Linked DNA regions of Anolis sagrei. The protein of the gene in region 3 interacts with the protein of the main gene of each other region in a biochemical or structural test. Links are inferred from orthologs where the notes say so. Each region holds a gene or a part of one and is shown on either strand. Other genes may lie near its edges. The genes, in order: MIF, IKBKB, COPS5 and CUL3.

Region 1 (7,899 bases), on a different chromosome or scaffold from region 3:
TAATTTAAATATTTTTAAATATTAAATATTTTTAAAATATTTACATTTTTTAAAAAAATTCAATAATTTAATACAGAATTAGTCATTTTTTAAAAAAACATTAAGAATGATTTAATTTGATATTTTTAAAATATTAAATATTTTAAAAATATTTACTTTTTTTAAAAAAAATTAATTTAATATGAATTTAATTTTTCTATGTAATATTTTAAGTTCGGTAAATTTCCTTATTTTTACATTTTTATTCTATTTTTAATTTCAGTAATTTAAAATAGAATTAATCATTTTTTAAATATTAAATATTTTTAAAATATTTACTTAAAAATTAATTTAATATGAATTTAATTTTTCTATGTAATATTTTACGTTTAGTTAATTTCCTTATTTTTACATTTTTATTCTATTTTTAATTTCAGTAATTTAAAATAGAATTAATCATTTAAAAAAATATTTAGAAGAATTTTCTATGTAATATTTTAAGAATTTTCTATGTAATATTTTAAGTTTGGTTAATTTTCTTGTTTTTAAATTTTTTTATTCCATTTTAAATTTCAATAATTTAAAATAAAATTAATCATTTTTAAAAAAATATGAAGAATGGTTTAATTTAAATATTTCAAAATATTAAATATTTTAAAATATTTAAAATATGAAAAATGGTTTAATTTAAATATTTTTAAAATATTAAATATTTTTTAAATTTTTACTTTTGTAGAACAATTGATTTAACATGAATGTAATTTTCCTCTTTTTCTCCTTCCTGCAGGAACACTTTGGCCAGTTCTGCTTCCTGCTTTTCATGGCCGTCTTGTATCTCTCCGGTTTCCTCGTTTACTTCTATCTTCCGGAAACCAAAGAGAAGTCGATCATGGAAATCCGGAAGGAATTCGACAAGATCAATTTCAAGAAGGAATTGGAAACGAGCGCTGCCCCAGACGCCCCCGCCTTCTGCACCAAATTATAAGGATTGGGGGGGGGGGGGGGGGGATAGATTTTTGGACCCCAAAATTCCTTCTTTCTAGAAATCCAAATTTATGCTTCCATTTTTTGTTAATAAAGCAACTGTTCTCGCTCTCTAAGTTACTTTGCATCCTTGTTATCTGTGTCTGTCCACCACAAAAGAATTACTGATAGTAACTACAAGTAACGGCAACTAATTATAATGCAAATTACCCAAATAACTGCAGTTGCAAAAAGAAATGTAAGTAACTACATTGTAAAACTAATTATATAAAAGTAACTGCAAAAGTAATTACAATGAATTAGAACATAAAAGCAACTGGTGAAAAGTAACTCTTGTTGCAAAAGGAAATGTAAGTAACGACATCATAAAAATAAATATGCTTATAAGTAACTAACACAAAGGTAACTGCTGACAAGTAACTCTTGTTGCAAAAGGAAATGTAGATAACATCGTACAACTAAATGTATAAAAGTAACTAACAATAATTACAACTATAACATAAAAGCAACTGCTGAAAAGTAACTCTTGTTGCAAAAGGAAATGTAAGTAATGACATCATAAAACTAAATGTGCAAAAGTAACAGTAACAATAATTACAAGTAACTACAATACAAAAGTAACGGCTGAAAAGTAACTTGTTGCAAAAGGAAATGTAAATAACAACATCATAAAACTAAATGTGTAAAAATAACAGTAACAATAATTACAAGTAACTACAATACAAAAGTAACGGCTCAAAAGTAACTTGTTGCAAAAGGAAATGTAACGACATTGTAAAACTAAATGTGCTTACAAGTAACTAACACAAAAGTAACTGCTGAAAAGTAACTTGTTGCAAAAGGAAATGTAGATAACATCGTACAACTAAATGTATAAAAGTAACTAACAATAATTACAACTATAACATAAAAGCAACTGCTGAAAAGTAACTCTTGTTGCAAAAGGAAATGTAAGTAATGACATCATAAAACTAAATGTGCAAAAGTAACAGCAATAGTAATTACAGGTAACTAACACAAAAGTAACTGCTCAAACGTAACTGCAGTTGCTGAAGGAAATGTAAGTAACAACATTGTAAAACTAAATGTGCAAAAGTAACTACTCAAAAGTAACTGCATTTGCAAAGGGAAATGTAATTAATTACAATACAAAATGAAATGTACAAAAGTAATTGCAATTCCAAAAATGTGTTGAAAAAGGAAATGTAAGTAATGACATCATAAAACTAAAGGTACAAAAGTAGCAGCAACAGTAATGACAAGTAACTACAACACAAAAGTAACCACTCAAGAATAATCATAGTTGCAAAAGGAAATGTGAGTAATTATAATACCAAACGAAACGTACAAAAGGAACTGCAATTACAAAAAGAAAACCATGATATGTAGTTGAACTGCAGATACTATTATTATTATTTTATGTATTTATTCCTTGCTGTATCTCCCTAAAGCGAACTCAAAGCGGCTCAAAGAGATCGGTGTAGATAACGTTATCACTATGCCTAAGTAACGAATGCTGGACAAGGTGTGTCTTGAACTACTTTCTAAGGGGCACTCTCCCTTCCCGCTCTCTGATTGGTCCTTGTCAACTCACTTCCTGCATTTTCTGCCAACTTCTGCCCAGAAATTGCATTAACTGCAAACTTGAAAAGGGTCAACAATTAGCTTGCATCAACTTTTGGTTTTCCTTTGGCCAAAGTGGAAAGAAAGAGGGAGAGACGGACAGAATGGCCGCCTTAGTCTCTGACCGGGTGAGCCATAGAATCCTAGTGATGGGATGGCAGAGTTGGGATGGTCCCCCAAAGGCCATCCAGTCCATCCGCTTGGGTCCCCCAGCCTCTTGAGTCCATACATTACTTTTCATGACTTATTTCTTCTGCTGTTGATTCCTCTCCCAAAAGGATTCCTTGGTTGATATCTAATTATACTTCCAGAAGAAGATCTCCAACCTCTGGAGACCAGGATGCAAGGGAGACATGGCTTCCAACTACAGGAAAGAAAGGAGATTCCACCTGAACATGAGGAAGAACTTCCTGACTGGGAGAGCTGTTCAGTAGTGGAACTCTCTGCCCCGGAGGGAGTGTGGTGGAGGCTCCTTCTTTGGAAGCTTTTAAGCAGAGGCTGGATGGCCATCTGTCAGGGGTGATTTGAATGCAATATTCCTGCTTCTTGGCAGAATGGGGGTGGACTGGATGATGGCCCACGAGGTCTCTTCCAACTCTAGGATTCCATGATTCCATGATTCTATGAATGTGTCCAGAGGAGGGAGACTCAAATGATCAAGGGTCTGGAGAACAAGCCCTGTGAGGAGTGGCTTCAAGAGCTGGGCATGTTTAGCGTGCAGAAGAGAAGGCTGAGAGGGGATATGATGAGAGCCCTGTATAAATATGTGAGAGGAAGCCACAGGGAGGAGGAGGGAGCAAGCTTCCTTTCTGCTTCCTTGGAGACTAGGACGCAATGGAACAATGGCTTCAAACTACAAGAGAGGAGATTCCACCTGAACATGAGGAAGAACTTCCTGACTGTGAGAGCCGTTCAGCAGTGGAACTCTCTGCCCCGGAGTGTGGCGGAGGCTCCTTCTTTGGAAGCTTTTAAACAGAGGCTGGATGGCCATCTGTCGGGGGTGCTTTGAATGCAATATTCCTGCTTCTTGGCAGAATGGGGTTGAGCTGGATGATGGCCCACCAGGTGAAATGTGGACCATTTCCGCTCCCTTGGCAGCCACCTCTCCACAAAAGTCAACATTGATACTGAGATTCAACACCACCTGAGCTCTGCGAGTGCAGCATTTTCCCGAATGAAGCAGAGAGTGTTTGAGGACCGGGACATCCGTAGGGAGACCAAGGGGCTTGTCTATAAAGCTATTCCCCTCCCAACCCTGCTCTATGCCTGTGAAATGTGGACTGTCTACAGATGTCAACACTGAGACTGAAATACAATACTGCCTGAGCTCTGTGAGTGCAGCATTCTTCTGAATGAAGCAGAGCATGTTTGAGGACCGGGACATCCGAAGGGAGACCAAGGGGCTTGTTTAGAAAGCTGACTGGGAGAGCTGTTCAGCAGTGGAACTCTCTGCCAAGATTCTTCTGAATGAAGCAGAGAGTGTTTGAGGACCGGGACATCCGTAGGGAGACCAAGGGGCTTGTTTATAAAGCCATTGTCCTCCCAACCCTGCTCTACGCCTGCGAAACGTGGACTGTCTACAGATGTCAACATCGACACTGAAATACAACACCGCCTGAGCTCTGCGAGTGCAGCATTTTCCTGAATGAAGCAGAGAGTGTTTGAGGACCGGGACATCCGTAGGGAGACCAAGGGGCTTGTTTATAAAGCCATTGTCCTCCCAACCCTGCTATATGCTTGCGAAACGTGGACTGTCTACAGATGTCAACATCGACACTGAAATACAACACCGCCTGAGCTCTGCGAGTGCAGCATTTTCCTGAATGGAGCAGAGAGTGTTTGAGGACCGGGACATCTGTAGGGAGACCAAGGTGTTTGTCTATAAAGCTATTGTCCTCCCAACACTGCTCTATGCCTGCGAAACATGGACTGTCTACAGATGTCAACATTGAGACTGAAATACAACATCGCCTGAGCTCTGTGAGTGCAGCATTTTCCCAAATGAAGCAGAGAGTGCTTGAGGACCGGGAAATCCATAGGGAGAGACCAAGGGGCTTGTTTAGAAAGCTGACTGGGAGAGCTGTTCAGCAGTGGAACTCTCTGCCAAGGGGAGGGAGGGCTCTCCTTCCTTCCTTCCTCCTTCTTCCTTCCCTGCCTTCGGGCTCCAGGAGGGTCTGCCTGTTTGTCTGCCTTTTCCAGGCTGTCCTCGTTTGAACCCTCTCTGCCTCCCTCCTTCCCACGTGACGCGGGGGGCGTGTCTGTGTCCCCCCCAAGGGGGTGTGGCCACCCCTCCCCTGGCCCCGCCCTCTTCCGGTCCTGGCCAGCTACGTGCTTGCACGCACAGACTGCCTTCTTCCCTGCCTTCCTGCCTTCCTTCCTTCCTTCCTTTCCTGCCATTGCGCTGCATTGCGACCCAGGCGGGCTTCTGTTTCCTTCCTTCCTTCCTTGGCTTCCTTGCTTCGACTTCCTTCCTTGGGGGAAGATGCCGATGTTCGTGCTGAACACCAACGTGGCGGCGGAAGGCATTCCGGACAGCTTGACCGCAGAGATCACCGACCAGCTGGCCAAGGCCACCGGGAAGCCCAGCCAGGTCAGGAAGAGAGGAAGGGAAGGAGGGAAGGAAGGGAAGGAAGGAAGGAGGAAGGAAGGAAGGAAGAGCGGGAGATGGAAGGAGAGAAAGCACAGGAAGGAAGGAAGGAAGGAAGGATGGGAAGGGAAAACGAAGGAAGGAAGGAAAGGAGGATAGAGGAAAGATTCCAGGAAAGGAGGGAGGGAGGGAGGGCTGGAAGGAAAGGAGGAGAGGAAGGGAAAGAGGGAAAGAAGGGAAGGGAAGAGAGAGAAAGGAAGGAAGGAGAGAAGGAGAGGGGAAAGATGGGAAGGGAGGACAAAGGCAGGAAGGAAAGGAGGATAGAGGAAAGATTCCAGGAGAGGAGAAAGGAGAGGAGGGAAAGAGGGAAAGGAAGGAGGAATAGAGGAAAGGATAGGAGGAAGGCAGGACAAAGGAAGGAAGGAAGAGGGAGAGAAGGAAGGAGAGAAAACTCAGGAAGGAAGGAAGAGAGGGAAGGATGGGAAGGGAAAACGAAGGAAGGAAGGAAAGAAGGATAGAGGAAACATTCCAGGAGAGGAGGAAGGAAGGAGAGAGGAATGAAGGTCTGGAAGGAAAGGAGGAGAGGAAAGGCTATGGAAGGAAGGAATACAGGGAAGGATGGGAAGGGAGGGCGAAGGAAGGAAGTGAAGGGAAAGAAGGGGGAAGAGAAAAAGGATTGCAGGAGAGAAGGAAGGAAGGAAAGGCTCAGGAAGGGAAGGAAGGAAGGAAGAGAGGAAAGGGTGGGAAAGGAGGGCAAAGGAAGGAGGGAAGTGAAGGGAGAAAGAAAAGAAAGAAAGAGGAAGAGATGGAAGGAGAGAAAGGCAGAGAGAGAAAGGAAGGGCCAAGGAAGGGATAGATGGATGGAAGGAAGGACAAAAGGGAGGAAGGAGGGAAAACTATAGGAGAGGTGAAAGGAGAGAAGGAAGGAAAGGAAGGAAGAAGTGGGCGGAAGGAAGAATGAACACAGAAGGAGAGAAAAGGAGGGAGGGAAAGACCAAGGAAGGAAGGAAAGATGGAAGGGAGGGAGGGAGGAAAAGGGGAAAGAAGGAAGAGAAAAGGGAGGAAGATTCCAGGAGAGAAGGGAGGAAGGAAGGAGAGAAAGGGAGAAGGGAAAACAAAATGCTAAAGAAGGAATAGATGGAAAGAGGGAACACAGGAAAGGATGGGAAGGGAGGGCAAAGGAAGGAAAGAAGGGAAGAAAGAGGAAAGATTCCAGGAGAGGAGGAATGAGAGGAGGGAAAGAGGGAGGGAGGAATCTTCTCTGAGAGAAAGCTCACACCCAGACAATGCTCTCTTGTCTTCTTCGCCCTTCCTTCCCTCCCTCCACCCTTTGTGACCTACTTATTTCCCCCCTTCCTTTCTCTCTTCCCTCCCTTTCCTTCTCCTCTTCCTTTCCTTCCCTCCATCCTTCCCTTCATTCATTCTCTCCCACCCTTGGCTACTGCCTTCTTTCCTTCCTTCCCTCTTTCCTTCTTCCTTCCCTGCCACCCTTTGTTCCCTCCTTCTTTCCTTCCTTCCCTCTTTAATTCCTCCCTTTCCCTCTCATTTCCTTCCCTCCCTTCCACCCTTTGTTCCCTCTTTCTTTCCTGTCTTCCCTTCCCTCCTTCCTTTGCTTTCCTCCATCCTTCCCTTCTTTCCTTCCCTCCCTCTTTCTTTCCTCTCTTCCCTCCCACCTTTTTTCCCCTCCTTCTTTCCTTCCTTCCCTTCCATCCTTCATTTCTTTCCTTCTCTCCCTTTGTTCATTCCTGCCTTGCCTCCATTTCCTTCCTTACCTCTTTAATTCCTTCCTTTCCCTCTCATTTCCTTCCTTTCCTCCCTTCCACCTGTTTGTTCCCTTTCTTTCCTCTCTTCCCTCCCCCCTCTTTACCTCCCTTTCTTCTCTTCTACATTCCCTTCCACCCTGTTACCTAATTCTTTCCTTCCTTCCCTTTCCTCTAATTTCCTTTCCTCCCTTCTTCCTTCCCTCCCACCCTTTTTCCCCTCCTTCTTTCCTTCCTTCCTTCCTTCCTTCCTTCCTTCCTTCCTTCCTTCCTTCCTTCCTTCCCTCCCTCCTTCATGTCTTTCCTTCCCTCCCTCCCACCCTTTGTTTCCTCTTCCTTCCTTCCCTCCTTCATTTCCTTCCTTCTCTCCTTCCCTCTTTCACTTTCCCCAGTACATCGCGGTGCACGTCCTTCCCGGCCAGCGCATGTCCTTTGGGGGCTCCTCGTCGGAGCCGTGCGCCCTGTGCAGCCTCCACAGCATCGGCAAGATCGGGGCCGCCCAGAACAAGGCCTACTCCAAGCTCCTCTGCGCACTCCTCCAGGACAAGCTACACATCCCGCCCGACAGGTAGGTAGACAGGTGGGCAGAGCGCCAGGGGACCACAGAAGGCAGCCAAGCAGGCACCCCACCCATCGCTAGGGACCACATTGACTCAAATCTAAGGCGCACCCCTTTGGGCGGGTTACAATTAAAGATTATTATTATTATTATTATTTTCCCCTAAACTGCCTTCCCAAAACCAGGCTGCACATTAGATTCACATCATCTATGGTCAATACTTTTGTGGCTTTCAGGGTTTTGAACATGGAGGGGCGCATCAGATTCGATGGCGCATTAGACTCCAGGAAATACTATATATATATATATATATATATAGAGGAATTGTTAGGAATTGTGGGAGTTGAAATCCCAACACACCTGGAGGGGGGGAGGGCCCAGGTTGGCCCATGCATGGTGTGTGTGTG
Region 2 (6,884 bases), on a different chromosome or scaffold from region 3:
GATGAACGCAGCACACTGATTCTCAAAACTGCCTCCCAAAACCTGACAAATAAATGCTTTTGGAGCCTTCAGGGAGTTGTTCTTGCAAGGAGATTTTGGAAAGGGCAAAAACGATATTCTGAAAAGGACAAGTAGCAGGGGATTATGAGAGGAACGTCGACAAGTCCATTTTAAATCGAGAATTTCATTATGCATTTAGTCTTTTTAATGTGTATCTTGTATGTGTTTTGATAGTGTTGTTGTGTGTGTTTTGATAGTGTTTACCGACTGTTAGGAATTGTGGGAGTTGTGGGAGCTTCGGGAGACAGTGGTCGGGCATCCGGACAACATTGGCAGTCCAGTGGAGTTGATGGCGGAGGACCATCGCTTCAGTGCTGGTGGTCTTTGCTTCTTCCAGCACACTGACGTTTGTCCGCTTGTCTTCCCAAGATATTTGCAGGATTTTCCAGAGGCAGCGCTGATGGAATCGTTCCAGGAGTTGCATGTGATGTCTGTAGACAGTCCACGTTTCGCAGGCATATACCAGGGTTGGGAGGACAATAGCTCTATAAACAAGCACCTTGGTATCCCTATGGATGTCCCGGTCCTCAAACACTGTCTGCTTCATTCAGAAAAATGCTGCACTCGCAGAGCTCAGGTGGTGTTGGTCAACATTTTCTAATGTTACACCATTAAGCTGTATCTCTGGCATTGGAGAGGGGTTGGCAGGAAACTGCTGGAACAGTACTTTGGTTTTTTTGATGTTCAGTGACAGGCCGAGCTTCGTGTATGCTTCTGCGAAGGTGTTTAGAGTGGCTTGTAGATCTTCTTCTGAATGTGCACAGACGACATTGTCACAAGCATACTGGAGTTCTGTAACAGATGTTGTTGTAACCTTGGTTTTGGCTTTCAGTCTGCTGAGGTTAAACAGCTTGCCATCTGTCTGATTATAGATTATTTCCACTCCGGTGGGAAGCTTCCTATCAACAAGATGAAGTATAGCGATGAAGATGGAGAATAAAGTTGGGACAATAACACATCCCTGTTTGACGCCTGATTCCACCTTAAATGGGTCACTTTGGAAGCCGTTGCTATCCAAGACTGTTGCCATCATGTCATCATGGAGGAGCCACAGGATGTTCACAAATAAAAGAATTACATAAATTCGAAACCATTACTGGATGAGGATGAACAAGCTGAAGATCAATCCCGACAAGACAGAGGTCCTCCTGGTCGATCATAAACCGGATTGGGGTATAGGGTGGCAACCTGTGCTAGACGGGGTTACACTCCCCCTGAAGTCACAGGTCCGCAGTTTGGGTGTCCTCTTGGATTCATCACTTACGCTTGAGGCTCAGGCGTCGGCGGTGTCCGGGAGGGCTTTTGCACAATTGAGACTTGTGCGCCAACTGAGACTGTACCTCGTAAAGGCTGATCTGGCTGGGGTGGTCCATGCCTTGGTCACCTCTAGATTGGACTACTGTAATGCACTCTACGTGGGACTGCCCTTGAAAATGGCTCGGAAATTTCAACTGGTCCAACGGGCGGCGGCCAGGCTGTTAACTGTCGCTCCTTACAGAAAGAGGTTAACCCTCCTGTTTAAAGAGCTCCATTGGTTACCGTTCATCTTCCGGTCCCAATTTCAGGTGCAGGTGCTCACCTACAAAGCCCTAAACGGTTTGGGACCCGCCTACCTGCGTGACCGCATCTCCATATATGAACCCACATGTTCCCTTCGATCATCTGGAGAGGCCCTGCTCACGATCCCACCTGCGTCTCAAGCGCGTTTGGTGGGGACGAGGGACGGGGCCTTCTCTGTGGTGGCCCCCCGACTCTGGAACTCTCTCCCCAAGAACATCAGACAAGCCCCAACTTTGACAATCTTTAGGAAGAGCCTGAAGACCTGGCTGTTCCAGTGTGCCTTTCCAGAATAGGAAACTCCCGGCATCATGTCCCAAACGCACTTTGTTAGAGACCAGGATTGTCTGCACATTGCACCTACCTCCAAAAATCGTTACATACCTCCTGTCAAGTTCAGCACTTTTAAATTTTGTCCATTACATTTGGCCCGGCCTTCTAGATTTTAAATGCATCATGGTGTCATTGTTTTTAGTGTTTTATTGTCTTTGCTTGATGTTTTATTGTTTGCTTATGAGTTTTATTGTTATATTTGTATGTTGTTGTTTGTTGCAGCCTTGGCCTTTATAAGCCGCATCGAGTCCTTCGGGAGATTTTGCAGGGTATAAATATAGTTAACAATTAATAATAATAATAATAATTTTCCATGTATTGTCGAAGGCTTTCATGGCCGGAATCACTGGGTTGCTGTAGGTTTTTCCGGGCTATATGGCCATGTTCTGGAGGCAATTTTTCTCCTGACGTTTCGCCTGCATCTATGGCAAGCATCCTCAGAGGTAAAGAGGTCTGTTGGAAGTAGGAAAAACTAGGTTTATATATCTGTGGAATGACCAGGGTGTGACAAAGGACTTTTGTTTGCTGGGGCTAGCTGTGGATGTTTCAGCTGATCACCTTGATTTGCATTTGAAAATTGCATAATTTTCCAGATCACCAGTCTGGGCCACAGCAACGCATGGCAGGGGACAGCTAGTGCTTCCTATGTCCCATCTGCATGGGGGTATTGGGGTAACTTTGGCCTTACAGAGGGATGTGGACTCCAGCTCCCAGAAGACTCAGCCAGCATTCTGGGAGTTGAAGTCTCAGCCGCAAGCCACGCCCCTCTGGCCCTCCCTCCCTCCCTCCCTGACTCACTTTGTGCTGCCAGCGGATGACGTTGCCGAAGCCCCCGGTGCCGAGCCGTTCGCGCATCTCCCAAGCCCCGCAGGAGGCCGTGGGCTGGAGCGGTGGAGGAGGCGGAGGCGCCATCGCAAACCAGCCCGGCTTCTCCTCACGGGGACACCGAATACAACCCCCCTTCCTCCTCCTGCTTCTGTTTCCTCCCTCAGCAGCAGGACTAGGCCGCGCCGCTCTCCTTCCGCGTCTTCAGGAAAAGGGAGGCGGGCCCCGAGGGAGAAAAAGACTAGGCCGCGCCTTAAAGGGACCGCAGCATTAAAAAAAAAGAAAAACAAATAGATCAGTGGTTATTATTATTATTATTATTATTATTATTATTATTATTAAACTTTGTTTGTACCCCGCTAGCATCTCCCGAAGGATTCGATGCGGCTTACACAGGCCAAGGCCTCAACACACAACACAACAATACAATCTAAGCAAATCAAACAATTAAAAACAGAATAAAGCAAAATAAACAACAGGCACAATACACTAAACACAATAAAACTGGGCCGGGCCAGAGTAATGGGTACAAGATTAAAAGTGCTGATGTGACAGGAGATGTATATAGGGTGACCCCCCCCACCACCACCACAACATGAGGAACTGTATTGAGGGGTCGCAGGATTAGGAAAGTTGAGAACCATTGTTGTTGTTCATTTGTTCAGTCGTCTCCGACTCTTCGTGACCTCATGGGCCAGCCCACGCCAGAGCTCCCTGTCGGCCGTCACCACCCCCAGCTCCTTCAAGGTCAGTCCAGTCACTTCAAGGATGCCATCCATCCATCTTGCCCTTGGTCGGTCCCTCTTCCTTTTGCCTTCCACTTTCCCCAGCATAATTGTCTTCTCCAGGCTTTGCTGTCTCCTAATGATGTGGCCAAAGTACTTCAGCTTTGTCTCTAGTATCCTTCCCTCCAGTGAGCAGTCGGGCTTTATTTCCTGGAGGATGGACTGGTTGGATCTTCTCGCAGTCCAAGGCACTCTCAGAACTTTCCTCCAACACCACAGCTCAAAAGCATCGATCTTCCTTCGCTCAGCCTTCCCTAAGGTCCAGCTCTCACATCCATAGATTACTACAGGGAATACCATGGCTTTGACTAGGCGGATCTTTGTTGCCAGTCTGATGTCTCTACTCTTTACTATAACATGAGGAAACAACCAGGCACATCTTAACACCTCTCAACAAAAGATTTTCCCAGGCTCAGGCAGGCCTTCAAATGCTAATGAAGGTGGCCAGTTGAAACATTCACACCTAGCTCCAGCAGAGAAGAGCTCTTTGCCCCACCCCAGCCATTCCACAGATATATAAACCCATTGTCCTATTTCCAACAGACCTCACTACCTCTGAGGATGCTTGCCATAGATGCAGGCGAAACGTCAGGAGAGAATGCCTCTGGAACATGGCCCTATAGCCCGAAAAAACCCACAAGAACCTAGTGATTCCAGCCATGAAAGCCTTCGACAACCATAACATTATTTTCATTGCTACTTCATACATTTTGTAATTTTGCTATTGTTATTAATCACAATGTGAAAACATATCTGATATGCAGTGTGTGTTTTCATTCATTAACTGGAACAAAGTTGGCAAAAATATCCACATTTGAATACTGGTGGGGTTGGATGGGGGAATGATTTTGTCATTTGGGAGTTGTAGTTGCTGGGATTTATAGTTCACCTACAATCAAAGAGCATTCTGAACTCCACCAGAGATGGAATTGAATTGATGCGGCTTACAAAGGCCAAGGCCTCAAAACACAACACAACAATACAACACCTAAAGCAAATTAAAAACAATAAAAGCAATATTAAACAACAAGCAATAAACAATACATCAAGACACTATAAAACTGGGCCGGGCCAGAGTAATGGGTACAGAATTAAAAGTGCTGATGTGACAGGTGATATGTAAGGATTATAGGGTAAGTGCAGTGTGCGGTGTGCAGCAATCTTAGTTCTAATAAAGTGCTTCTGGGACTTGTTATTGGAGATTCCTAATCTGGAAAGGCACATCGGAACAGCCAGGTCTTCAAGTTCTTTCTGAAGACTGCCAATGTAAGGGCCTGTCTAAGATCTTTGGGGAGGGTGTTCCAGAGTCGAGGGGCCACCACAGAAAAGGCCCTGTCTCGCGTCCCCCACCAAACGCACCTGCGACGCTGGCGGAATCATGAGCAGGGCCTCTCCAGATGACCGAAGTGAGTGCGTGAGTTCATAAATGGAGATACGGTCACGTAGGTAGGATGGTCCCAAACCATTTAGGGCTTTGTAGGTAAGCACCTGCACCTTAAATTGGGCTCTGAAAATAAATGGCAGGCAGTGGAGCTCCTTGAACAAGCATTGGTGAGCACCCTCTGGGTTCATCCATTTAACCAATTACAGATCCACCTCACCGTAGTGTTGCCTAGCCCACATTGGAATAGTTTGTTTGCCAGAAGGTCATGGGGAACCTTGTCGAAGGCCTTACTGAAATCCAGGTATGCTTCATCCACGGCATTCCCCGCATCTACCCAGCTTGTAACTCTATCAAAAAAAGAGATCCGGTTAGTCTGGCATGACTTGTTTTTGATAAATCCATGTTGACTTAATAAACCATTAAGCTGTATTTCTGGCATTGCAGAGGGATTGGCTGGTGCTTGCTGGAAGAGTACTTTGGTTTTCTCAATGTTCAGTGAAAACAGTACCATATAATCCTGTTCAAAGCTGATCATCTGGATTCAGAGACGAGTATAGGGCAGTGTAGTTTGGGCCTGTGATATGATGTAGCCACAGGAGGGCAGCATCTGCTCTATTTATAGATAAAATTTATGCGTAGACAGAAGTCTAAGATTTGTGTTTTGCATCCTTGGCATGAGGCAGAAAGTATTACTACTGTGATTTCTTTTTCTCATCCTCTTCACTACACAAACACAAAAACATCCTAAGGAAAGCATGCCCTCATACATTTATCCTCTGCTCTGGATTTTCCGTTGCAGAACTACTCCAATGTCCAGATGGGATCACATCTTCCTGCAACCTTACCCACTCCTTCGCACTTTGGTAAAATTTCCCCTTTTCCGTGCTTAATAATGTGGCCATTAGGTCAAGCTTTGCTAGACAGGCAAAGAGGCTTCAATGGGATGCTTTTAATGCACAAACCATGTCAACAATCAATTCAACTTTGTGTTTCAAAAGGCATCTTCTCTGTCACAATATCAGGAGTTTCCTTTTTGCATCTAAAAAAGGTGTTTCCATTTGGAGGATTGGTAAGGAGACTGGATGGCCATAAAATTATTTATGAATTGTAATGTAAATATCTGCTACACAGGATATGTTTTCATTCACTGGTCCAAATTTGGCACAAATACCTGGAACGCCCAAATTTGAATCCTGGTGGGGTTTGGGGGGAATTGATTTTGTCATTTGGAAGTTGTAGTTGTTGGGATTTATCGTTAATCTACAATCAGAGGGCATTCTGAACTCCACCAAAGATGGAATGGAACCAAACTTGGCACACAGAACTCCCACAACCAACAGAAAATACTGGAAGGGTTTGGTGGGCATTTACCTTGCGCTTTGGAGTTGTAGTTCACCTACATCCAGACAGCATTGTGGACCCAAACAATGATAGACCTGGACCATGCTTCGCATGGATACTCAATATGCCCAAATATGAACACTGGTGGGGTTTGGGGGAAATAGACCTTGACTTTTGGGAGTTGTAGTTGCTGGGATTTATAGTTCACTTACAATCAAAGAGCTTTCTGAACCCCACCAACGATAGAAATGGGCCAAACCTTTCACACAGTACCCCCATGCCTTGAAGGGACTCACTGGCGCAAGCCTCCCTCCAGCATCACATGCTCTTCCTTGCTCGCACATGCGCACCACGCTGCCATGTGCTGGGTATGCCTGCTCTCCCCTCCCCTGCTTGAAAATTTAAAAACAACCCTCCCCTTGGTTTTGAGGCCAGCTGAGAGGCCAGTCACTCACAGCAGAGGAGGGCTTTGGTGGGAGGATTCCCCATCTGTTTTCAAAAAAGAACAGAAGGACAGGCAGAGAGATCTTCAGCCTTCTCTGCCAAAGGGGTTCCTAAGACCCTCAGAAATACATGTTTTCTAATGATCTTTGGTGAAC
Region 3 (6,896 bases):
CTCCTCATTGCGAGAGCTGTTCAGCAGTGGAACTCTTTGCCCCAGTATGGTGGAAGCTCCTTCTTTGGAGGCTTTTAAGCAGAGGTTGGATGGTCATTTGTCGTGGGTGCTTTGAATGTGATTTATAAAGCCATTGTTCTCCCAACCTTGCTATAATGCCTGCGAAACGTGGACTGTCTACAGACTTCACACACAACTCCTGTAACAATTCCATCAGCGTTGCCTCCAAAACAATCCTGCAAATCTCTTGGGAAGACAGGCGGACAAATATAAATGTGCTGGTAGAAGCAAAGACCACCATCAGTGAAGCTATGGTTCTCCGCCATCAACTCCGCTGGACTGGCCATGTTGTCCGAATGCCCGATCACCATCTCCCAAAGCAGTTACTCTACTCCCAATTCAAGAACGGAAAACATAATGTTGATGGGCTGGAAAAGAGATTTAAAGATGGGCTTAAAACTATGGCATAGACACCGAGAATTAGGAAGCCCTGGCCATTGGGTGCTCTAACTGGAAGTCAGCTGTGACCAGCAATGCTGCAGAATTCAAAGAGGCACAAATGGAGGAAGAAACATGCCAAGAGGAAGGCGCGTCAAGCCAACCCTGACAGAAACCGCCTTCCACCTGGAAACCAATGTCCTTAACTGCGGGAGAACATGCGGATCAAGAATAAGGCTCAACAGCCACCTACGAACCCACTGCCAAGGCACCACATCTGAAAGACCATCATCCTCAAACTACGAGGGATCGCCTAAGTAAGAATGTGATTTTCCTGCTTCTTGTCAAGGGGTTTCTTCCAACTGTATGATTCTATCTGCAACGTGGTCTTTCAACCTCACCAATATATTTATTTATATATTTAGTATATTTGTATACCACCGCTTTGAGCCTTCCGGCGACTCGAGGCAGTTTACAAGGCAAAATTCAATGCCACCAAGAACACAATTACAATATAAAATGTCAACATCAATAAAATCATAACACTATAATAAAACATAATTCAATAAATACTTATTAACACAATGTCCAGCCCCGTCATGTAGTTGTTAGGAAAAATTAGGAAAGCCCCTACCCTAGAAACTTTTAAAAAGAACCTCAAAACCTGGCTCTTCTGTTGCGCCTTTGGTGAATAGGTATTCAATCCCACATTATCATTCATTTGCAATGTTCTGTCACTGGAGAATACATTCCCCCCCTCATGGGAAAGCTTGATTCCACAACTCCCACTATAATGAGCCCTCCTCCACAAATAATTTGTTTCTCTTTTATCTCACCCGAGTTTTTAACCAGTTTTAATTAGTTCTTCTTTTAACCATTACATATAGCCCGCCCATTGTCACTGTGTTTGTGTTTACTGTAATTTTATATTGTTGTATATTAATATGTTTTATGTAATTATGATGTTGCAGTTTATTGTTTGCATTTTCGGTTTGCGTTCGGTTGTTCTTTACTGTAATTGTTGTTTGGGCTTGGCCTCATGTAAGCCACTCCAAGTCTCCACTGGGGAGATGGTGGCGGGGTACAAATAAATATTATTATTATTATTCCATTCTTATGTCCGCATCTCTGTTTATGAACCCACGTGCTCACTTCATTCATCCGGAGAGGCCCTGCTCGTGATCCCGCCTGCGTTGCAGGCGCATTTGGTGGGGACGCGAGACAGGGCCTTTTCTGTGGTGGCCCCCCGACTTTGGAACACCCTCCCCAAAGATCTTAGACAGGCCCCTACGTTGGCAGTCTTTAGAAAGAACCTGAAGACCTGGCTGTTCCGATGTGCCTTTCCAGAATAGGAAAACTCCAACAACAAGTCCCAGAAAGCACTTTATTAGAAATTAAAATTGCTGGCACACTGCACTACCCTATAATCCTTACATATCACCTGTCACATCAGCACTTTTAATCTGTACCCATTACTCTGGCCCGGCCCAGTTTTATTGTGTCCCGGTGTATTGTTTTATTGCATGTTGTTTAATATTGCTTTAACTGTTTTAAATTTGCTTTAGGTTGTGTATTGTTATGTTGTGTTTTGAGGCCTTGGCCTTTGTAAGCCGCATCGAGTCTTTTGGGAGATGCTAGCGGGGTACAAATAAAGTTAATAATAATAATAATAATGTCTGTTACTCAGTATTCGCAAATGCCTGCTTAAATAGCCATGTCTTAAGATTCTTCCGAAATGCTAGGAGCAAAGAAGCCAATCTGATCTCCTTGGAAGGGCGTTCCATAGCTGAGGGGCCACCACTGAGGAGGCTCTGTCTCTCATCCCCGCCAGCCGTGCTTGTGATGATGGCGGGACCGAGCGCAGGGCCTCTCCTTTGGACGATCTTAAAGTCCTCGAAGGTTCATAAGGGGAGATTTGTTTGGACAGGCAAGTTGGGCCAGAACCATTTTGTAATGAGTATCGTCTTTTGTAATGAGTGACGCCTTCTCATGATAAGTCATGGCAGTCTGATTTCAATTATGTCAGCGTCTAGGAATAGTTCAGGCTTTAGATTATGAGTCTGCAGCAGGCACGGGCCAACTTAGGCCCTGCAGGGGTTTTGGACTCCAACTCCCACCATTCCTCACAGCCTCAGGCCCCTTCCTTTTCCCCCTCAGCCGCTAGTGAGGGGGAAAAGGAAGGGGCCTGAGGCTGTGAGGAATGGTGGGAGTTGGAGTCCAAAACCCTTGCAAGGCCCAAGCTGCCCCATGCCTGCTCTAAAGCCTCCCCAAACACCACCTCCCAGGGTGCTGGGCCCAGAACTCACTCCTTGGTCCAGGGCTTGGCGGCCAGGATCTCCTGCTGCTGCTTGCGGTCGTACTTGTAGATCTCGTCGATGCTCTGCGCCTCCTGCATGTTGTTCGCCAGTTCCCAAGTCTTCTGGGCCATCCCGCTGCTGCCCGAGGGCCCCGCTGCTGCCGCCGCCGCCGCCATAAGGCCCGCTCTCCACTGACAGGCAGGCAGCCGGACCGAGCCTGCCTGCCGGCCTGTTTTCCGCCAGCCCAGTGCTACTACGGAAGCCGGTGGGTGTCGCTCTTCGCGGAAGGGTTCCGTCCGCGCTGTGCGGCACGCCCCTAGTTCGCGCGCCCCCTAGCGGTCAACAACGGCGTGACCCTCCCGCCTGGAATCGGCTTTGTCTTGCCAACCTTTTTTTGGCGTCATTTCCGCCTGGCGTTACGGCGCATGCGCTGTCGGGGGAAAAGGCGCGTCATGCCGCAAGGCCTCCTGGGAGACACAAGCTTTGAACTTAGAAGCTTGGGCTAAAAGCAGATTCGTAAGCACCGGGAGGAAGTCATGAACTTCTCATCTGCATTGGGTTGCTGTGAATATTCCGGGCTGTGTGGCCATATTCCAGAAGCATTCTCTCCTGACGTTTCTCCCACATCTCAGAGGTTGTGAGGTCTGTTGGAAACTAGGCAAGTGGGGTTTATATCTGTGGAATGTCTGAGGTGGGACAAAGAACTCTTGACTACTTGAGGCAAGTGGGAATATTGCAGCTGGCCAGCTTGACTAACATTGAATAGTCTTGCAGCTTTAAAGCCTGGCTGCTTCCTGCCTGGGGGAATAGGTTGGTAAAGGTAGTCCCCTGACATTAAGTCCAGTCATGTCTGACTCTGGGGTGTGGTGCTCATCTCCATTTCTAAGCCAAAGAGCCAGCGTTGTCCATAGACACCTCCAAGGTCATGTGGCCGGCATGACTGCATGGAGCGCCGTTACCTTCCCGTCGGAGCAGTACCTATTGATCTACTTACATTTGCATGTTTTCGAACTGCTAGGTTGGCAGAAGCTAGGGCTGACAGCAGAAGCTCACGTTGTTCCCCGGAATCGAACCTGCGACCTTTCGATCAACAACCTCAGCAGCTCAGTGCTTTAACCGACTGCGCCACCGGGGGGAATAATAATAATAATAATAATAAACAACTTTATTTAATACCCCACCACCATCTCCCCAATGGGGACTCAGGGAGGCTTAAATGAGGCCAAGCCCAACAGCATATTACAATAAAGTAAAACCAAAACACAGTGACAACACAGAAAAATTCATACAACATATGAGTACAAAAACAATAACCAAAATCATACACAGTAAAATAAAATAACATAACAATGAGTAGGCCGCATGTGCAAGATAAAAACTAAAATACTTGTTGGGATTTCTTGCATCCTGAACATCCCACGATTATATAAACTTAGCTTGATTAACATTGAATAGCCTTGCATCTTTAAAGTCTGGCTGCTTCCTGCCGGGGAGAATCCTTTGTTGGGATTTCTCCCATCCTGGACATTCCATGGTTATATAAACTCAGCTTTATTAACATTGAATAGCCTTGCATCTTTAAAGTCTGGCTGCTTCCTGTCTGGGAGAATCCTTTGTTGGGATTTCTTCCATCCTGGAGATTCCACGGTTATAAAAACTCAGCTCGATTAACATTGAATAGCCTTGCAGCCTTAAAGTCTGGCTGCTTCCTACCTGGGGGAATCCTTTGTTGGGATTTCTCCCATCCTGGACATTCCACGGTTATATAGAATCATAGAATCCTAGAGTTGGAAGAGACCTCATGGGCCATCCAGTCCAACCCCCTGCCAAGAAGCAGGAATATTGCATTCAAATCACCTCTGACAGATGGCCACCCAGCCTCTGTTTACAAGCTTCCAAAGAAGGAGCCTCCACTACACTCCGGGGCAGACTCAGCTTCATTAACATTAAATAGCCTTGCAGCTTTAAAGTCTGGCTGCTTCCTATCTGGGGGACTCCTTTGTTGGGATTTCTCCCATCCTGGACATTCTACAGTTATATAAACTCAGCTTGTTTAACATTGAATAGCCTTACAGCTGCTTCTTACCTGGGAGAATCCTTTGTTGGGATTTCTCCCATCCTGGACATCCCACGGTTATATAAACTCAGCTTGATTAACATTGAATAGCCGTGCAGTCTCGCTTCTTCCTGCCTGGGGGAATCCCTTGTTGAGATTTATCCCATTCTGGACATTCCACAGTTATATAAACTCAGCTCGATTAACATTGAATAGCCTTGCAGCTTTAAAGTCTGGCTGCTTCCTACCTGGGGGAATCCTTTGTTGGGATTTCTCCCATTCTGGACATTCCATGGTTATATAAAGTCAGCTCGATTAACATTGAATAGCCTTGCAGCTTTAAAGTCTGGCTGCTTCCTGCCTTGGGGAATCCTTTGTTGGGATTTCTCCCATCCTAGACATTCCATAGCAAACCAGTTAAGGTATATTGTCAAAGGGATTATGGGTCAGAGTGATTTAGAATGGTTAGAAGAGGGAGTGAAGACATAGATATAAATCCAGAATATATTTTCTTCATAGGGAAAATCAGGAATTTGGGGAAGAAATGGTATAACAAAATAGAGAACGCTGTTAAGTATATATATATATTTGAAATATGGTCTAAGTATGAAGAAAAATTAATACCGCCGATCTCCCCATTAACTCCAGTGTTGATTACAAATAATTTTCCTATAAATCTCAAAAAGGAGTTAGAAAGAGAATTAAAAGAAAAAGGAATAATGAAATTAAAAGACTGGGAACCAAAGATGAAAAATATAGAGGAGATAAAGGACCAATTATCAGGATGAAGTATTGGGTGGTATAAAGCTCTACAATTGGAAAGATGGTTAAGGGGAATAAGAAAGAAATATAAAGGAGATTGAGAACTTACTAAATTTGAAGAAATGATTAGCCAAAGAGGGAGTAAGGAAGAAAAAGGAAGAACAAAAAGGTGTAACAAGCGATATCTATAAAATATTGTTGGAAGGAGTCCAGGAGCAGGACCACCGTAAAGGAATGTGGGAATCGGATTGTATTAAAGTAATATACCCTCAAAATTGGAAAGGAATATGGCATATTAAAATCTGTCAATAAGAATAAAAGAGAATTATTACAAAGTGGTGTGGAGATGGCATCTCACACCAGTCAGATTAAATCAAATCCATAAGAAATACTCTAAGCAGTGCTGGAGGGGCTGGCAAGAAACTGGTACATATATACACATGTGGTGGTCTTGTAAATATGTTAAATTTTTTTGGAAAAATGGATTTCAAGAAACAAGAATCACCCAAATAGAGATAACAGGAATGCCGGAAATAGCACTGCTATCATTTATTACTTCAGAGCTTGATGAGCATGCCCACCCCCAATTAATATATAGAATATTTCCTGTGCTTCTGTTTGTTAATTACTTTATTGAGTTTCTTTCAAGCAATGTAAAGTGCATCAAAGATATTTTTTTTCAGTATCTTTGCTCACTACTAAGAAGCCACCCATGTCCATAGAGGTGCTTTTCATGGGTGATATCCTTTTAGCTCTCATTTCTTTTAAAACACACACAGAACTAGTTGTTGGAGTTCTTACTCAAATGGATAAGCATATCCCTATATAAGTATATATGTCTAAATTAAAAGTCTATTAACTCCAGTAAATGAGAATTGTAATTTGGGGAGGCCACACTCTTGGCCCAAGAAGGCTAAAGACCTTGTAAAACTACAACTCCTGGGATGCCATTGCCTTGAGACGTGGCAGTACACGTGGTCCACAAGAATGAAAACATTGTTGCCTCGAAACTACGTGGCAATGAGAGCGACTGATCTCGCAAAACCCTGTGACTGGTCTTGTGAAACCTTCTTATAGTGCCAAGGCAACAGGGATATCGAGAGGGGAGTGGTTGACTACCCACAAATGATTACTACTACCACATCAGCTCTAGATTCAGTATGGTTTTCTGTGGGAAAGCAGATGGCGACTTCTGGATGGCATATGTTCCGTATCAGAAACTAGAGCTGATGTGGTTTAAAAGGTAAAGGTTTCCCCTGACATTAAGTCTAGTTGTGTTGGACTCTGGGGGGTGGTCCTCATCTCCATTTCTAAGTCGAAGAGCCAGCATTGTTCATCAGCAA
Region 4 (7,455 bases), on a different chromosome or scaffold from region 3:
GCAGTGTAATAATTTAATTGGAATATGTGCAGTGATCTTATACTATAATTTCTGGATGGCATGATTTTAACATTGAATGTCATTTAAAAATATATTTAATATTTATTAATTGTAACACCCCCCCCCCCCCCACCGCCGCCTAAACAGCTCCACTGGCTGCCGATACGTTTTTGGTCCCAATTCAAGGTGCAGGTCATCACCTAAACGGTTCAGGGCCTGCCTATCTTTGTGACTGCATCTTCCTCTGCGAACCCACACGATATTTAAGATCTTCTGGTGAGGTTCTTCTCTCGCTGCCATCTCCATCTCAGGTGCAGATGGTGGGGAAAGGGCGTTTTCAGTCGTGCCCCCCCCCCCCCCAGCTCTGGAATTCCCTCTCTAGTAAGATCTGGCTCGCACCCTCTCTGTCCACTTTCCGCAAGGACTCAAAAGACCTGGATGATGTTCTCCGTCTTTGACTAGGCAATTCCTTGGATAGCTGGTCCTAGTCAGGACATACATACAAAAACCTGTCCTTATATACCTCAACCCTAGCTGATATTTTTTTTCTACCCTTAATGCTGCTATATGATAGACTTACTCACTAGCTCTGTCCTCTATGGTTGTGGCACCAGTCCGCCCACCCACGATGAGACACTGAATCTTACAGTTGGTTGTTGGCCCTGACCTTTTGTTTTATATTGCCTAACATTATTGGTTATTTATTTTGCTATATAGTTTCTGTTATTATTTTGTTGATGTGATTTTAATGTGTTATGTTTTAAGTGTACCATTGGGCCTGGCCCCATGTAGGACGTCTGAGTCCCTTCGGGTATTATCAATTCAAATTATTTTAGCTCAATTTCTGTATGTGTTAAGACATAGAATAACTGCCATATGTAAGCCGCCTTGAGTCTCCCTTGGGGTAGAGAAAAGCAGGGTATAAGTAATATAAGTAAATAAATACCGTATATATTCGAGTATAAGCTGACCCAAATATAAGCCAAGTCACTTAATTTTACCACAAAAACTGGGAAAACTGATTGACTCAAGTATAAGCCGAGGGTGAGAAATTCAGAAGCTACTGGTGCATTTCAAAATGAAAATATACCAATAAAATTACATTAATTGAGGCATCAGTAGATTAAATGTTTTTGAATATTTATATAAAATTGTAATTTAAGATAAGACTGCCCTAACCTTCAATATAAATGTGCTTACGTATCCTTATAATAATAATAATAAAGACAGTAAAATAATAAATGGAATAATACTATAGAGTGAAATAATAAATGGAATAATAACAATCATAGAGTAAAATACTACATTTAATTATAACACTTATAAAATAAAATAATAAAATAAAATGATAACTATAGTCATAATAGAGTAAAATAAGAAATGCAATAATAATAATAATGACAGAGTAAAATAATAAATAACCTTGACTCGAGTATAAGCCGAGGGGGACTTTGTAATAATAATAAGGTAAAATAACTATAATAATAGAGTAAAATAATAAATGCAATAATAACAATAACAGAGTAAAATAATAAATAACCTTGACTCGAGTATAAGCCGAGAGGGACTTTGTAATAATAATAAAGTAAAATAACTATAATAATAAATAGAGTAAAATAATAAATGCAACAACAATAATAATAATGACAGAGTAAAATAATAAATAACCTTGACTTGAGTATAAGCCGAGGGGGACTTTGTAATAATAATAAAGTAAAATAACTATAATAATAAATAGAGTAAAATAATAAATGCAATAATAATAATAATAATAATAATGACAGAGTAAAATAATAAATATCCTTGACTCGAGTATAAGCTGAGGGGGACATTTTTCAGCCTAAAACAAGAGTATATACTTGAGTATATACAGTAAATTTATTTATTTCTTATAGGATGTTATGATAATGTGAAATTAAAATCAAAAGGCTAAAGAGGAGCCATGGATTCAAACTGCAAGGAAAGGGAATCCACTTAAAACATTTGGAGGAAGAACTTCCTGCTTATGGGCACTTCCAGACAGGCCTTGTATCCCAGGACAAACCCTATGTGTGAAATCTTTTCCCAATTGTTTTCTTTTGAGGGAGTTATGAGAAACATCAGGTGACTTTTGGGCCCGTCCTGTTTGACGCCGAGGCCTGTAACAGACTCGCGTGTGTTTGTGTGGAGGCGGGTGTAGCTGTTGTTTTCTTTTAAACCGTTCGAAAGAGAGGCCGGGGTGAGGATGTCTTCGGCGGGGAAGCGAGGGGCCGATGGTGGGCCCGGCCTGGCCTCTTCCTCCGCTTCCTGTGGGCTCGGCGCTGACAGCCTCTGGCGCCCGGGCCTGGCTCTAGGGAACTCCTAGGCGAGGCCCAGGCCGGCTGTGGGGCTCCAGGCCCAACGCCGCCGCGTCGTCGTCAACTCTCCCAACTCCCTCCCCTGAAGAGAGAGAGCCTCCTCACTCTTTCCTTCTTTCCCTCCCTCCCTCACTCACTCACCGGGAAGGCTCGGATCCGCATCTTGGTATCCTTCCGGCTGCCCGTGCCTTTGCTCAGGTTCGACATCTTCGGGCCTTCCTGAGGGGAAGGAAGGAAGGAAGGGGAGAGGGAAAGGGGGACGAAGGAGGAGGAGAAGGAAGGCCTCCCCTCCTCCTCACACGGCGGCGACCTTCACTCCGAGGGCGAGGCGGGAGGTAGGCCCAAGTGGCTCCTGCGTGGGAGTAGTGGCGGGCCCCTCAGCCCCCTTCGCCGCCTCCGCCGCTGCTGCTGCCCGCTGCTCCTGCTTCTTCTCCTCCTCCGCCGCCGCGATGGCGGCCAAACATCGCTCAGTGCGCAGGGCCGAGCGGCGCCCCCCTCCCCTCCCTTCCCTTTCCCCTCCTCCTCCTCCTCGCCTTCCTCCTCCTCCTCTTCCTCCCTCAGACAGAAACACAAGCAGATCCGGCGGCGGCGGTGGCGGCGGCGCAAGAGCCAGCGAGAGGAGGAGGAGGAGGAGAAGGCCGCTCTCGCGAGAACTCCCTCTCTCTCTCTCTCTCTCTCTCTCTCTCTCTCTCTCGAGAAAACTCCCACCAGAGGGGAAGGGAGGGGCCAAGAGGAGGATTGAGAAGGAGGAGGAGGAGGGGGAGGGGTTTCTTTCTCTCCCTTCCTTCCTTCCTTCCTTCCTCCCAGAAGGAAAGTGGGAGGACGGAGTGGGCGGGGATTGGAGGAAGATGGCGCGCGGCGGCGGGTGCTGCTGACACGGGAAGGGAGGGGGGAGGAGAGAGAGAGGGTGGAGAGGGAGGTTGTGGTCACGTGGCCAGAGTGCTCGCGGGAGGAGGGAGTTCTGGCACGTTTGTTCCATCGAAGGCCGCTCTGGGGCGACAGGTGTTCCAACACAGGCCCTGTTGGGGAGGGGTTGAGTACTTCAAAATGAAGCTCTTGAAATTATAACAGGAAATGAAGAACAACACTCAAACACAGGGGAACTCCAGACAAGAAACAATCAGGGGCAGCTAATCACCATGTGAGACCAGGCCCTTAAGGAAAGCTGAGTGAAAGAAGATAGATGCTTTTGAACTTTCCGCAAAAAAAGTGAAGACCTGGCTGTTTGAGCAGGTGTTTGAGTAATTAGTGCAATGATTATTTATTTATTTACTGCGCTTATATACCGCAATTCTCAGCCCAAGGGCGACTCATTGCGGTGTACAACATGAAGAAAATAATCCACAATTCAACATTATCAGAAAACATCTCATCAAAACATCAACATTGCTACAAAGCCATTCCAAGTCGTCTCATCGTCAAACCCACAATCCGATATCATTTCCGTTGTTCCATTCCTATGGTCAAATTACCAGTCATTGCACTTCTTGATCAAATGCCTTCTTAAATAGCCAGGTCTTTAACTTCCTGCGGAATATCAACAGGGAGGGAGCTAACCTGATGTCCACGGGAAAGGTGTTCCATAGCCGAGGAGCCACCACCGAGAAGGCCCTATCTCTCGTCCCCGCCAGCCGCGCCCGTGACGCAGGCGGGATCGAGAGCAGGGCCTCCCCGGAAGATCTCAAAGTCCTTGTGGGCTCATAGGCCAAGAGGCGGTCAGTTAGGTATCTTGGGCCGGAACCAAGAGGGAGTGAACATTAACATTGGTTAATGAACATAGGAATGGAACAATGGATGACGAATCTGGATCATGTTTCTGATGATGAGATGACAGTGAATGGTTATTGTAGTAATTGTTTATTAATTGTGTAATATGTAGGTTGTTAACTGTTTTTACACTGTTGCATTGAATTTTTGCTGTTCTTATTTGTTGTGAACCGCTGTGAGTCGCCTCCGGGCTGAGAACAGCGGTATATAAGTAAATAAATAAATAAACTGTGGTGTTGGAGGAAAATTCGGTGATAGTGATAGCTGGGTCCGTTTCACTCCTTTGGGAGCGCTGTTTGCGCAACGCAGAACAGAACACATGACCGAGACGGGCGGCAGAGTGAGAGACTGAGATACTATAAGCCAGGCCGGACACATATTATAGAAGGAATGTAAGAGTTCTTGAATGGTAAAACCCTAAGCCTAACCCCTAACCCTACTTTACCCTAAGCCTAACCCCTAAGCCTAAACTAAACCCTAACCCTAAATCTTACCCTAAGCCTAATCCTTAAGCCTAACCCTAAACATTACCCTACCTCACCCTAATCCTTACCCTAAACGTAACCCCTAAACCTTACCCTAAGCCTAACCCCAAACCCTAAACCTAACCCCTAATCCTAACCCAAACCCTGACCCTAAACCTTACCCTAAGCCGAACCCCTAACCCAACCCTAAACCTTACCCTACCTTATCCTAAACCTTACCCTAAGACGAACCCCTAATCCTAACCCAAACCCTGACCTTAAACTTTACCCTAAGCCTAACCCCTAATCCTAACCTTAAACCTTACCCTACCTAAACCTAACCCCCAATCCTAACCCTAAACCTAACCCTTCAATCCTAACCCCTAATTCTAAACCTTACCCTAATCCTAAACCTAACCCTAAACCTTACCCTACCTTACCCTAACCCTAAAACTTACCTTAACCCTAAGCTTAACCCCTAATCCTAACCCTAAACCTTACCCTACTACCGTAAACCTTACCCTAAGACTAACCCCTAATCCTAACCCTAAACCTTACTCTAGACCATATCCTAACCCTCCCCTCCTTTCTATCCTTCCACCAAATGCAACTACAAAGTATATTCCTGACCTCACTGTGCCGCTCTCACTCCGCCCCCTCTCTGAACTACGTGGTCCCTTCTCTTATTCACAATCGTCGTAGCGGAATGTGCGTAATGCTCGGAGCTTCCATACCAGCTATCATACTATTACTGAAAATTCTGAGTGTGCCTTGAACTGCAAGAAGATCCAACCAGTCCATACTTCAGGAAATAAAGCCCGACTGCTCATTGGAGGAAAGGATATTATAGGCAAAGATGAAGTACTTTGGCCACATAATGAGAAGACATGAAAGCTTAGAGAAAACAATGATGCTGAGAAAAATGGAAGCAAAAAAAGAAGAGGGGCCGGCCAAGGACAAGATGGATGGATGTTAACCTTGAAGTGACTGACTTGACCTTGAAGGAGCTGGGGGTGGTGACGGTCGACAGGGAACTCTGGCATGGGCTGGTCCATGAGTTCATGAAGAGTCGTAAGCGACTGAACAAATAAACAACAATAATCACCTCTCAATGAAGGATTCCCCCAGGCAGTAACAAGCCACACCTAAAAGGCCATCAAATGCTAATCTGGTGGCCAATTGAAACATAACTTGCTCCAACAGACATGAGTTCTTTCTCCCACACTGGACATTATTCCACAGATATATAAACCCAATTTTCCTAGTTTCCAACAGACCTCACAACTTCTGAAGATGCTTGCCATAGATGCAGGCAAAACATCAGGAGATAATGCTTCTAGCACATGGCCATACAGCCCGAAAAACCTACAACAACTCAGTGATTCCAGCCATGAAAGCCTTCGACAATACAGGATTTTAATTGTCATTCGCTTACAACACATACATACATAGATGTTTATAGGGTGCATCTAGCACAGGCATGAACAGAGTTTGGGCTTCTCTGCCCAAGAGGGCTGGGTGCCCCATCGAACAACAAATCCCATGAGCACATAGCATTGGGCCGAGGTAATTAAAGTATGTTAACCTGCATTGCTTCTATAGTGTAAATCAGGCCTGGGCAAACCTGGGCCCTCCAGGTGTTTTGGACTTCATCTCACACAATTTCTAACCCAAGTATGTCCATGTCTGATCTAGAATTAGTGCAGTTCGACACCGCTTTTAAACTTCCATAGCTCAGGAGAACATATAAGTAATTTGGGGGAGCAGGGGGGTTATAAGTACTTTTTATTATAATAAATATGTTATACAAACACATTTGCTGATAATCACAATCAAATGAGACGTACTTAGTTTTGTAATATTTACAGTTCTTGTAACATTTACATTTTCTAAATCATTCTTTGGTTTCAATTACAAATACAGTTATAGTTACAAACACAATTGCAAATTCACACACACATATATCTTTCAGTTAATATATATCAAACTTTTCAATTTTTTCTTTTGTACTAATATCTATATAAAACCTACAACTCTTCAGGTGATCCCTTGTGTGGTCCCTGCCAGCCAGGGCCAGAACATTTTCTATTGGTTAGAGGGCATCCTGCCTCATTCTGTTTTACTCAGGGCTCCTATTTTCTCTACTACCCAATTCACAGTAGAGGTAACATTTGCTGGGTTTTGATTTATTTCTCTTTGAGTTATTTCTGGAAAACCAGGGCCAGCTATGCAAAACCAGGAGAACTTACAAGTTGATCAACCTTGTCGTTGACCAAGGAATATCCCAAAAAGCCTCCTGGGTGTCCCCCTGCTGTCCCCTCTTCTTCCTTCCTTGGTGTCGACGTGGCCCCCAAATACCGGTTTCCGGCTCCATTCCTGAGGCCACTGCCTCCCAAGGTTGGATCACCAAGTCTGGCCAGTCAAAGACAACAGCCACCTTTTGCCAGGTCTCTTTGGTCAAAGGGCAGTCCCTGATGAAACGCTCAGTGGTATGGGATCCTGGGAGTTGTAGTTCGGTGAGCCACGAGCACTGTGAAACTATTGTTATTATATTTTATATATTTCACTTGCCTCTCTCCAAACAGCTAGCTATGCAAGGTAAAGGTAAAGGGTTCCCCTTACATTAAGTCTAGTCATGTCCAACTCTGGGGGGTGGTGCTCATCTCAATTTCTCTCCGTAGATGCCTCCAAGGTCATGTGGCCAGCATGACTGCGTAGAGTGCCATTACCTTCCCTCAGAAACAGTATCTATTGATCTGTTTACATTTGCATGTTTTCAAACTTCTAGGTTGGCAGAAACTGGGCCTAACAGCGGGGTCTCCCCCATGTCCAACTCTGGGCGGTGGTGCTCATCTCAGTTTCTGAGCTGGCATTGTCTGTAGACGCCT

What was found.
Region 1: the proteins of COPS5 (region 3) and MIF form a complex in vitro, tested with the Homo sapiens proteins (2 studies listed by BioGRID). The link is inferred for Anolis sagrei from reciprocal best matches to the Homo sapiens genes COPS5 and MIF.
Region 2: of the proteins of COPS5 (region 3) and IKBKB, one has a biochemical effect on the other in vitro, tested with the Homo sapiens proteins (2 studies listed by BioGRID). The link is inferred for Anolis sagrei from reciprocal best matches to the Homo sapiens genes COPS5 and IKBKB.
Region 4: of the proteins of COPS5 (region 3) and CUL3, one has a biochemical effect on the other in vitro, tested with the Homo sapiens proteins (2 studies listed by BioGRID). The link is inferred for Anolis sagrei from reciprocal best matches to the Homo sapiens genes COPS5 and CUL3.

The regions. Positions count from the first base shown.
Region 1 is NC_090026.1:765,805-773,703, forward strand, and holds the start of MIF (macrophage migration inhibitory factor), read left to right. Parts: upstream 1-4,887; 5' UTR 4,888-5,068; coding exon 5,069-5,176; intron 5,177-7,325; coding exon 7,326-7,501; intron 7,502-7,899. Other genes in the region: solute carrier family 2, facilitated glucose transporter member 11-like, read left to right, coding at 767-964.
Region 2 is NC_090027.1:24,636,424-24,643,307, forward strand, and holds the start of IKBKB (inhibitor of nuclear factor kappa-B kinase subunit beta), read right to left. Parts: upstream 3,002-6,884; 5' UTR 2,863-3,001; coding exon 2,749-2,862; intron 1-2,748.
Region 3 is NC_090024.1:45,219,232-45,226,127, reverse strand, and holds the start of COPS5 (COP9 signalosome complex subunit 5), read right to left. Parts: upstream 3,025-6,896; 5' UTR 2,912-3,024; coding exon 2,745-2,911; intron 1-2,744. UniProt on the Homo sapiens protein: Probable protease subunit of the COP9 signalosome complex (CSN), a complex involved in various cellular and developmental processes.
Region 4 is NC_090023.1:234,255,528-234,262,982, forward strand, and holds the start of CUL3 (cullin-3), read right to left. Parts: upstream 3,018-7,455; 5' UTR 2,544-3,017; coding exon 2,478-2,543; intron 1-2,477. UniProt on the Homo sapiens protein: Core component of multiple cullin-RING-based BCR (BTB-CUL3-RBX1) E3 ubiquitin-protein ligase complexes which mediate the ubiquitination and subsequent proteasomal degradation of target proteins.